3 linked regions of the Saccharomyces cerevisiae S288C genome follow. The gene in region 1 interacts genetically with each later gene. Each region holds a gene or a part of one and is shown in the gene's direction. Other genes may lie near its edges.

Evidence for each region. Genes that interact genetically often act in the same process or in processes that back each other up.
Region 2: mutations in YPT7 (region 1) and LDB18 together harm fitness more than expected from each alone (negative genetic interaction), as found in Saccharomyces cerevisiae (3 studies listed by BioGRID).
Region 3: mutations in YPT7 (region 1) and AVL9 together harm fitness more than expected from each alone (negative genetic interaction), as found in Saccharomyces cerevisiae (3 studies listed by BioGRID).

The regions. Positions count from the first base shown.
Region 1 is NC_001145.3:264,324-268,406, forward strand, and holds YPT7 (Rab family GTPase YPT7), read left to right. Parts: upstream 1-2,850; coding exon 2,851-3,477; downstream 3,478-4,083. Other genes in the region: YML003W (uncharacterized protein), read left to right, coding at 1-32; VRL1 (Vrl1p), read left to right, coding at 218-2,431. UniProt on the Saccharomyces cerevisiae protein: Ypt/Rab-type GTPases are key regulators of membrane trafficking and intracellular vesicular transport.
Region 2 is NC_001144.5:38,737-41,705, forward strand, and holds LDB18 (Ldb18p), read left to right. Parts: upstream 1-1,929; coding exon 1,930-2,469; downstream 2,470-2,969. Other genes in the region: FRE6 (putative ferric-chelate reductase), read right to left, coding at 1-735; COF1 (cofilin), read right to left, coding at 1,068-1,485, 1,665-1,678; bile acid-transporting ATPase YBT1, read right to left, coding at 2,544-2,969. UniProt on the Saccharomyces cerevisiae protein: May be involved in protein-linked oligosaccharide phosphorylation since the deletion reduces the negative charge of the cell surface.
Region 3 is NC_001144.5:374,444-378,906, reverse strand, and holds AVL9 (Avl9p), read left to right. Parts: upstream 1-1,668; coding exon 1,669-3,963; downstream 3,964-4,463. Other genes in the region: cleavage polyadenylation factor subunit CFT2, read right to left, coding at 1-922. UniProt on the Saccharomyces cerevisiae protein: Functions in the late secretory pathway. Required for the generation of secretory vesicles as well as for actin polarization and polarized growth.

The DNA.
Region 1 (4,083 bases):
TAGACACTGAAAAAATAAATATTTTTCAGTGAACCAGTTGTTGACAGATTTTTACTCAAAAGATTATGGGGAATTTAAATTACACGACATCACTCTTATTGAAAGGCGTCTCCATCTAGCGTCCAAACATCTTCAAAAGTTGGCTTTGACCCATTCATACGCTGAAAAATCTAAAATATTAGTTGAAACTCTACAGAAATTATCAGGTACTACCGAAATGGATTCACATCAACTAGAACTACCAGACGGATTGAATAACATGACGATGGATGCAGACACTTTAATTAGCCTTTTTGTGCTCGTTGTTTGCAGAAGTGAACAAAAGCACCTTAAAAGTCATCTTTACTATTTGCAAAATTTTTCGAATAACTCTTCTTCTACAAAATTCGGCATTCTAGGGTATGCTGTATCCACACTGGAAGCAGTGGTTTGTTATTTCGAAGACTTCAACAAAAATACAGGCAACGTGGCGAAAGCTAACACATTATGTGAAAAAACTAAGAATTTATTAGATAAGTTGTCATGTGAAAACCCCACAAATGAAGTAGAAGATCTGGCAACATACAAGGATATTTTGACCTACAGAAATGAGCAAGGACAATCCATTCTATCCATATGTATAACAAATCATAAAAACTACATCTTATTAGATATTCTTTCTGAATATGAAAACGACTTTCCAGTAGAAGACCTTTTAGAGGACGAAACGATTGATGGTTCTACGCTGCTTATAGAATCGATAAAAGCAGGAAATTTAGAAGCCGCGAAAGTTCTCATAAAGATCATGCTGTTCAATTGTACTGAAGAGGAGCTGGTTTCTTATATCAATAAAACAGATAAATATGCACGTACCGTGGCTCATTATCTAACCCATGAAATGGATATACTTAAAAGCATCGGAAATTATATTGATTGGAAACGAAAAAATTCCAGTGGACAAACGCCTTTATTTTCCATCTTTAGAAGTTATGATCAACCAAATTATGAAGAAATGGTGAAGACCGCATTTGATATCGCAAATACTTGGTATAGAAAGCACAACAGTTTGTTTGACTATCTAGACCACACCGATAATAAGGGCAATAGCTTGTTGCATGTTTTGAAAACAAACATTCCAATCCTTTTACAACTGACTAAGCTAGATATTAATGAGGAAAATTATAAGGGATTGACGCCATTAATGGTATATGTGAAGTACAAAAGACTAAGTAATATTGACGCCATCACGAAAGACCGTCGACTTATATTAGAGAAGGTTCAAAACTCGACCTTCTTCACTTGTTTTGATTATGCAAAAGATCACTCGGTACTAAGCAAGATAGGAGAAAGGGGTGTCAAAGATTCACTTTTTGGATTAATATATTTTCATTCTTTGCGATATCATAATTTAAATGCGACAACAAATATAACATCCGTTTCAAATGCAGAGAAACCTTTCGCCACTACTGTTATTAACATGAAAACAATTCAAGGCTTACTACGCTCAATTCTGAAAGACAATCCGTTCACCTTTTTGCCATTAAATACCTATATCGATGAAATATCGCACTTAAACCGTTCTGATTTAACAATAATCGGGAAAACAGATGTCACATCGTTACTTCACCAATTAACTAACTGCTTCAACGTTCTTTTATTCCTGAAAAAAATTCCAGAAAATTTGTTCACTGATGAGGCTTCTATCTTATATTGGATGCGCATAAACACTTCTAAAAGAAACCAGAAACCCTCAGGAAAAGAAAATCCAAAAACAATGGAACCCGAGGAGATTAATATGATACAAAGCTTTTTACGTTTTAATTTTGATGAGATTTCATCATTTAAGGCAAGCTTGAATATTTTGAGGAAAGTCTTAATATTTATTAATTTGAAATCCGATGATTTCGAGGATGCTTATAAGGGTCTTAACGAAATGGGTAGAAAATTAATTAATAGTGAAGCATCCAGCGCATTTAAGGGGATTATAACAAATCATAATATGTTCAGTGAATTATCGCTAGCAGCACTACTAGAAAACGTGCGTTTCTTGGAACAATGTACTATCCAACTATCTAGTTTCGTTCAGATAATTTTATTTGAAAAAATTCCGAACTGGTGGAAACATTATGGTGAGTTTTTAGCTTTACATAAAAGCTATCGGAAGGCTTTTCCTAACATGGTTAAGCCAAAAAGTGCATCAGATACCTCTAGTCGTGCTCCACTTGGTGGTTTTATTGAAACGAAGCGTGAACAATCGGAGCAAAGACTAGCGGTTCAGATAAAGGCCTCTTCAAAAATGCTCAAAGAACTTGGAAGCGAAATTTTTGTAGCTCACGAAAGGTTGGCCGAGGAACTAAGCAATTATATGGAGTTCAGGAAGGCGTGCTTAGATCAGCGTAGTCTTGTGGCATTTGCCACAACCAACATTAGCGTTCTTCAAGAATGTGTTTAAGATTGACTGAGCATTGCAATATTTTACCTTCTTCTCACTTGTTCTATAGAATTTTTTACCCAAAAATAAGAGATAAAGAGTTTGAAAGAAACATCATTACATATATATATATATACGGGCAGCTCCGTAACTCGAAAAGAGTGACAGCTGTTTTACTCTGTAATAGCTGACGATTCTTCAGTGATTGGAATAACCTCAGAACTCACCGGTACGGGTAACGTTTGTATCTCGCGGATTAACTTTTCGCATTTCGACCTACTGAGAGAAGAAGTTCCTTTTGTTAATCTGTACCTTTATCTTGAAAGCAGTCGTTACAGAGGAACAGCATTGGGAATCACCAACAAAATAAGAGGAATAAGCTCATCCAGTCCACTTCTTATCCATATAGAAACCCCTTCTGTATCAATTCAAATTAAGTGATGTCTTCTAGAAAAAAAAATATTTTGAAAGTAATCATCCTAGGTGACTCTGGTGTTGGGAAGACCTCCTTGATGCACCGTTATGTCAATGATAAGTATTCTCAACAGTATAAAGCAACAATTGGGGCTGACTTTTTAACAAAAGAGGTGACAGTTGACGGTGATAAAGTTGCCACCATGCAAGTTTGGGATACTGCTGGACAGGAACGTTTCCAATCACTGGGTGTTGCTTTCTATAGAGGTGCAGATTGTTGCGTTTTGGTCTACGATGTGACCAATGCCAGTTCCTTTGAGAATATTAAGTCTTGGCGAGATGAATTTCTAGTGCATGCGAACGTAAACTCACCAGAAACATTTCCATTTGTTATACTGGGAAATAAAATTGATGCCGAAGAATCTAAAAAAATTGTATCAGAAAAGTCCGCTCAGGAGCTTGCTAAATCATTAGGCGATATTCCTTTGTTTTTAACAAGTGCCAAAAACGCCATAAACGTTGATACCGCATTTGAAGAAATTGCAAGGAGTGCTTTACAACAGAATCAAGCTGATACAGAAGCCTTTGAAGATGACTATAATGATGCCATCAATATTCGCCTAGATGGAGAAAATAATTCTTGTAGCTGTTGAGCTGTACTACTTAATTGTATCTTCTATTATGTAATCCTTTATAGCGTATCCTTAAAAAAATTAATAATTTAAAACTACTAAATATATTTAGGGATGTGATGGCCCTTTCAATATGAGGCTTTCGATTACCATGTGCAATCTGTCTATGAACCTTAGTTAATTAACACAACTGTTAAATAAAGCGATTTACTACACTTGAGATAATATAACTCAACAAAACGTGACAAAAAATCACATGACTACCTAACAAAATATTTATTTTTCTTTTTTAATATTTGAAAATACTAAAATATTTTTGTTGTTTTTTGAAAAAAGGATTTTTAATGTGTATGCGTTCCGAACTTTAAATATAACGTCAGCGTAAAAATAATTTTTCTCCGAATGTATATCGAAATCTCAAATTGCTCTTAGAGATTTAGATTTCAACGACAGGATAAATTGGCTAGAGTTGAAAAAACTGCACAGAGTATATAAAAGATCTTGCAATGGATGATTAAAATTTACGGTATTTCATTTTTCCAATGAATGGCTTTTCTAAGAGAAATTAATTTCGCAATTTGTTGATGAGAAGTTCTGGCTACCTTAGTCACTATTTATTTTACTATG
Region 2 (2,969 bases), on another chromosome or scaffold:
TGCCTCCAAGGAATTCGGCATCAGTCCCGTAAAGACTTCCACGTTTAGAAACTTGAAGTGATTAGCGTGCTTATCTACTAAAAACGTAGGCAACACAAAATGGCCCCGAATATAATTGACGAACCGGCTTGCAAATAGCGCTCGATTCAGGCCGTTATAGTGACTCATATGGAAGAAGACGGCGATAATACCCACTATGACGAAGTAGTAAGTTAAATATGCACCATAAACACTGCTGATATCTAAATTATAGGCATGCGCATGAAAAGCTCGTATCCATCTAGATCTTGTCTCACGATCGACTCGAATGGATGTCGATAAACTTTCAATAGAACCATAGTCTTCCAAAGCGTGAGAAGAAGCATTATTTAAAGATGAGTAGTATTGCTCCAGTGAAATATTGCTAAACTTTTTATCGACAAACGAGCACGTTTTTCGTACGTTACCCAAGCTTTCTTCGAAACTTGTGTTGTCCATGGGAATAATCTGGTCTGTAAGCGAATTGAAGATACAAAGTGACCAAGTATCAAACGCTGGTGAATAAGAGCATATGGTAGAATAGAAACCCGGTACGACGGAGCTATCAAATGACCACTTCAGAGTATTTATATAGGATGCGCATGCCAGCACAGCGTTGGATTCCAAATGGTCTTTTTTTTCAGTGTGTGGTAATTTTATATTAAAAGCCTTTGTTAAAGATATCAGCCACGTTAAAAACAGAAGCGTTCTATGCATATTCAACGAGCTATGGTCGTCATGCTTCACTTTAGAAGATTATAGAAAAATCATTGCTGCCTGGTTCGATGACCTTGTATCTTTTCTTGATCTACATGGCCAGTATTTCCGTTCTGAATTTAGAATTACAAATATGGGTGCAAAAACAATGCCCACTAGCCGGGGTGTACGGGACCTTAAATCTAAGTATTGTGTTTTAGATAGAGTTGCGAAGAGAAAATTATAATTATAATAATTCTATACATGTATTCTGTATATATATGACGATTTTATATATAGATATACATTTTCATTTTTCTTGAAGATTGTTGTCATTTGTGAAATCATTTACCTTAATGAGAACCAGCGCCTCTGCTGACTCTTTCCAAAACAGAATCGTAAGAAACTTCGGAAAAATCAGTACCTTGAACATCGGTAGAGACACCGTTTAAGGCTCTTCTTAAGGCATCCTTGGAGGATGCATAGACCATCTTAGATCTGACTGGAGCAGTGTCTGGAGACCAAGTGAAGAAAACAATCTTGGATCTCTTACCTTCATTACCATTAATTTCGTATTCAAAATCGTAAATGGCGTAAAGACAGTCGTTTTCTGGCAATTTCTCTAAGAAGGCATCGTAAGATGGGTCAGTAGAGGTTTCCTTGACAACGATTTCGGTTTTAGCATCGTTCAATCCGAATAAAATAAATTTGTATTTTTTACCCAATTTCAAGTCATTGAAAGCGGTAAGGGATTCATCAGCAACAGCAACACTACACAGAAACTTCACATTTTCCTGGCTTCTTATGAATTTTTTCCCCCACATTCCTTTTAAAGTTCCATGTTAAAAAGGGAGGAAAGAAAGGACATAAGAGAGCGAGATAAAACAGCATCATGTCAATTAGTTAGTAATTGATAGTTTACACAGGAGTACAAATGAAATTTAGCATACCCAGATCTAGACATCTTCTTTTGTTAGTTTTTTGTTTATGTATGTTTTGAAATCTGAAGTTTACGTAGTTGCTAACCAGTCTTTTCTTGTTTCCTCTTTTTCTTCCAATTTTGTCATCAAACAGGGGCGGCGTCACCCGAATATTGTTCTTATTACCCGGATATTAGGTAATTTAGAGGTACTGCATATAGTATAAGTGATTGATGAACTTATAGAATGTTCTCTCGAGCTTCCAAGGCCATTAGCCTCTACCAAAGGAAGTTTGATGCCTGGTCTTAAGCTTGTTGAAGCTTTAGAATACAGGTGTGACCGATTGGAGCGGCTTATAGGCGCCGGATACAGCGCGAATTCCGATGTTTCAGTGCAATTAGATGAACTATACAATCAGTTACATCGTCTATATTTCCAGGGTCTAAAGTATTCTCAAGATCTCCTGCAACTCTTTAATACTTTCATGGCTGAAGACATCGAGAACGTGGGAGCTCCTGATGATATTTGTATTTTTGCTAGTTGCTTTGACGATATTTATACATTATATAGTGCATTTGACGAACTAAACAGCCAATATATGGAGTTTTGCCAAATCAGTAAAAGTTCATTGGATCAGATTTCCTTCAAAGACGCAAATATTGAAACGAAACAGTTGAAGAAGTTACCCGAGTTGGTGGATAACTGCAACATAATGATTTTGAGGTCAATTGCAATTCTAAACCGTTTCATCGACTGGAATATTGAAGTTAACGGATTCTTCCAGTTCCAGAAAAAGAGGCTGTTGAATTTACAAAAGGTAATTTATAGTACGTGAACATGTGTGCGTATATACATATATATATATATATATATATATATATATATATATATACTTTAGCATCGAAACAGCTAGTCCTTTTTAGAGTTCAATTTTTCCACAAAGGCTTTTTTAGCCAATTCAATTAGGATATCCAATTCTCCACTATGCTCACACATGCTATAAAAGGCACTTTGTTTGTTAAGTAACAAAGAATATGGGTGATCATACTCTTTTACCTCACCTGCATCCATCACCAAAATTTTATCATAATCGATAACAGATCTCAACCTATGTGCAATTGTCAAAATTGTACTACCTTGGAACTCTTTTCTTATGGTTTCTTGGATCTTCGCATCGGAACTGTAGTCGATGGACGCTGTAGCTTCGTCCAGCAATATGATCTTTGGACTCCTCAGTAAAGATCTAGCAAGGCACATCAATTGGCGCTGTCCTTGAGACAAATTGGATCCACCTTCGCTAATTTCACTACTTAAATCCAAGAATTTATTAACATT
Region 3 (4,463 bases), on another chromosome or scaffold:
ATGTCTTAAGTAGTGAAGGGGACAGCCACTCGAGCATTGATTTGGCATATGTTAGAGTTCTTCCTCTCGCGTAAGACAGAATAAGTACAGGTACTTGTGTGTGCGCATTGATCTTTGTGCTTTCAAATAATAACTCATGAACTTGTGTGAACAGGTCCAGAAATTTGCCACTCATATCTACCGGTATTATAACGGACCCATCCGAACTCAAACCTTTCTTTAATGTATCTTTAAAGATTTTTGAACGTTTTTTAAACGGTTGAGAGGAGCCAAACCTGTCCAAAGTAGTAATTATTGCAGAGGGCCTCATCAAAGTTGATAAGGGCTTACCAGTGGCGTCCAATATAGAAGCAGCATTTAGTATGTTATCTCTAGTGTGGTTCCATCGCTTTGCATAAACCAATTTCTCTGAGTATGTGCTAATGCACCAAATAGAACCACCTGGACACACACCAGCATTGTACGCCAGTAAAGTCAATCCATCGTATCTTGATCGTAGATCTACCAATTGCGAGTACTTCAAAGGTACAATATGATCAAAAGATATCTCAATATCTTCAAGATCGAGTTTATTTGTGTCATATGGACCTATAACACCTGCAGATGCATATGAATCTATGGTGGAAACTCTCCCTAAGTTGATAACAGGAAGAGTTGCGTAAACTTGAATTCTGGATATGAAATGCGAGGTAAAATTATAGTACAGAAGGGAATGAGCACCTAAACATTCAATTGTTGGTTGTGATAGTATTATTACATCAATTTCCGGTATCACTTTTTCCCAGTACTTGATGCATTGCTCATACGATACTTTAGATGGATTCCAACCGGGATCGATTAACAAGGTGACGTTATCAAATCGTACCACTGAACCAACGGTGGTTCCTGATCCATCATCACAGCAATTGTATTTATAAGTCATATATATTCGTCGCCCTCAATGTATGTTCTTCATTTCATCTTCTGTGTTATTTCTTTAGCGAACAAATATTCGTGAATTCGATGTTAAAACTGCAGATTGTTTAAGAAAAGCGGGAAAACGCCGCCGAAAGAAAAAATCTTTTTCTAGTAATATTTCTTATTACAACAAACATTGAACATTGAATGACTTCAATCCGTAAGGGTTCATTGCTTGTATAGTTGGACTATATGTCATAGGTGAATCATTATTTCTTGAACTCAGGTTCGCTTTACTCAGTCTAGTGCACGTGAGATTACACTGCAAAAACTCCATGAACCAAAGAACTTACCTTAGACTTGCATTTGGGAGCAAAGTTTACACTAATTAATGCTTTTTATTTTTATTGTCCCAACCTTCTAATGTGTGGATTATTAATGGGGTAAGTTGAACTTCTATTACTTCCATTGAACGTTTGAGAAGTATCATTGCTTAGGAGGTTTGCCTAGCAAAAATAGCCGCTGAAATGATGCTTGTCCGTCGGGTAATGATTATACGAACGGGTAACGGAAGATATGGAAGCTAACCCAACAGAGAGCAGTCAATAATGGATCTTGCATAAGAATGTACGGCCCGATCAAGCATCCTTACAGCTCATTCACGAAGTTTCCTTTTCAAGAAAATTTTGAAGCCTTAAAGGAATCCAAGCAGGAAGACCATATCAAACTAACATATACATTCTGCCTCGCTGCAACCTTGTTGTCAAAATAATGGATGAACACGAGGAAGCAGTCATCTTCGGTATCTGCCTTGTGGACTTTCATCACAAAAGAGGCCCTGAAATAGAATACTGGTATGGCTTACCTGAGGGCACCCAAAGTGCAGAACTATGGCCAAATTTACCCTTCCAGGCCCTTCCTGATGGTTCTCACTCGTTTGAAGAAACATTTACTTATTTCACATTACTATATGATGAAAGAAGACAAAGGAGCCCTCCCAACGGGGCAACTGATCTGAGTGATGATAGCATCAATGACAACACGACTTTGTTTGCCATATCTTGCTCGAGACAGATAAAGAGTGATGAATTGGTCACTAAAGATAAGGATGTAACACGATCTACTGTACAGAAGGCAATTGTAGTCATCTCAAGGCAACCAATCTTCGGTCAAATCAAGGACAAACTTAGTATTGTGACTAATGCTTTTTTCTTGCAGCATGATTTTGGGGACAGGAAGATAATCCAGTCTTTATACGAAAACCTGAAGTCGATTTACACGCCTGCATCATTGGTCAGAAATGCCGAAAATCGTCTTTATATTGGGTTATGTCTGAGAAAGATACTACATGATTTTAAGAGAAACGCTTTAGTCTTATTGAAAGCAATTATGCTTGAAAAAAAAATTATAGTTTACGGCAACGACGTGGAAGCTTTGTGTAATTTACAGTTCGGTCTGATCAGCTTAATTCCGGACTTGATGTCAAATTTGCAGGATTCTGGCAGTCCTCAGTTGTTTCAGGATATTTCGAAATTAAATGTTGTGGACTCGTTTAAATCAAGCAATCGAGAATCAGTGTTGAGATTCTTAGGTTTTCCATTACCGATTTTCGAAAAAGGTGGACTATTTTCACCCTATACTCCACTGCAGCAAATGAATGACATACGGTCAGAACGTACTTTGTTTTTTATGATTGGAAGTTCCAACACATTGCTTGCTGAACAAAAGGAGGAACTGTGCCACATATTTGTCAATACAGACAATTCCACTGTAGATATTCTGGACAAGACTTTGAACCCCGTCCTCCAATTGTCAAGTCATGATAAAAAATGGATTGAATCTATATCTGGAATTGTATCAGACACATGGAACGAAAATGATGATGAAACTCCAAAAAACTCTCAATTTGAAGGCAGTGAGGATTTCATTAGGTGGCAATTCGAGGACTATTTAACGGGGTTACTTTCCAGTGTTAAATTAAGTGATTATTTGGACCTGCATAAAGAGAATGATCAAGCTTTGAAGACTATACCTGAGGATATGCTAAATTCCAATCCCGTTCATTTATTCAATTTGAATTGGGTTCAGAGTTGGAAAGAGACTCAAAATTTTCTGATATTCAACTCAAGAACAGATGATAGATTGTTCGACTTGTTTCCTCCGAAGCATATATATAACGGTGCCGACACTCTGTCTCTATTACAGCAACGATTTTTGGCCACATTTCATAATTTAAAAAGAAGCTCTAGCAACTCTTCAAGCAATAAAAATGGTCATCAAAGCGAGGAGGATATCAAAGACCAGGAAAGCATCGAGTCAAAAAAGTCTGTTTCCCAAATTTCTGTAAATCCTGGAAAGAATACAGACAAGCCAGCAGCCAACTTATGGAATTCATGGAAGGAATATTTCAATAAACCAAAGAATACTGCTAATGAAGATGTTACTGAATCCACAGAAGATCTCAAAAACAGAAGTAAAACATCGAACGCGATACAGAAAGCTATGATGGGCTTGGGTTTACATTATAAACCTGATGCGGAGACAGATCAACAAAGTGAAGAGGTGGGAAATAGTGAGGACAATGAAGATGATGATACTGATGAGGACTCTGAGGATGATGATGATGATGGTGGTGATGACGATGATAGTGAGGACGATGACGATGACGATGACGGTGAGGGCGATGAAAATGGCGATGACGGTGAGGGCGATGAAAATGGCGATGACGGTGAGGGCGATGAAAATGGCGATAAGGAAGACAGTCAAGATTTTAGCAATGGTTTTACAGACGTTACGAACATTAACACTGATCATGATAAAGAAAATGAACAGAATTTTGAGGGTAATGCAGAAAATTTTAATGAGGACGAAACCGTTGCAGATAAAGATATTGAAGGTGGTCCTGAGAGCAATAAAAATTCCGACAGTAAAACTGATATTTATGAAAACGATAGAAATGTTGAAGACTCATCTAAAACGAGAAATACAGTTAAAAAATCCAATGAGGAGGGCGGTGCGAATGACGCTGCTATAGGTAATTGTGTGCAGGATGAGGAAAAATTATGATATCTATACTATTTGTTAGCAATCGCGCTAAGATATGTTTATATGACAAAAAGAAAATCAAGAAACAGAGCCCTCCAGTTGTGAAAGTTGCAGGGGAAAAAATATCCGTGAATCTCAATACCTTTAGTCGTATTGGGATAATAGCTGAATAATAATTTATAGAAAACTGGGGTGACCTCCACAAGCACAATAAGATTCAGAAATTATAGAATATAGCTTTTTGGGGCTTTCCAAAAATGGAATAGAAAATTTTTTGAAGTTATTCTATTTGCATAGACGCTCATCAAACTATGTTTAAAGATTAACTTCATAGTAATCTTTTGAATGCTTTTTAGCTTCCTAAAGATGAATAACGTAGAAAGTTGAAATATTTAGAAACAATCGCAGTATCCTTGCTAGACCCTCTTTAATATTAATAGTAATCTTGCAAACAATAAAGATAAGTAAAGTTAACGATAAAAGCATCATTTTCAACAAAACTGAAGGGTAGCGACATAATT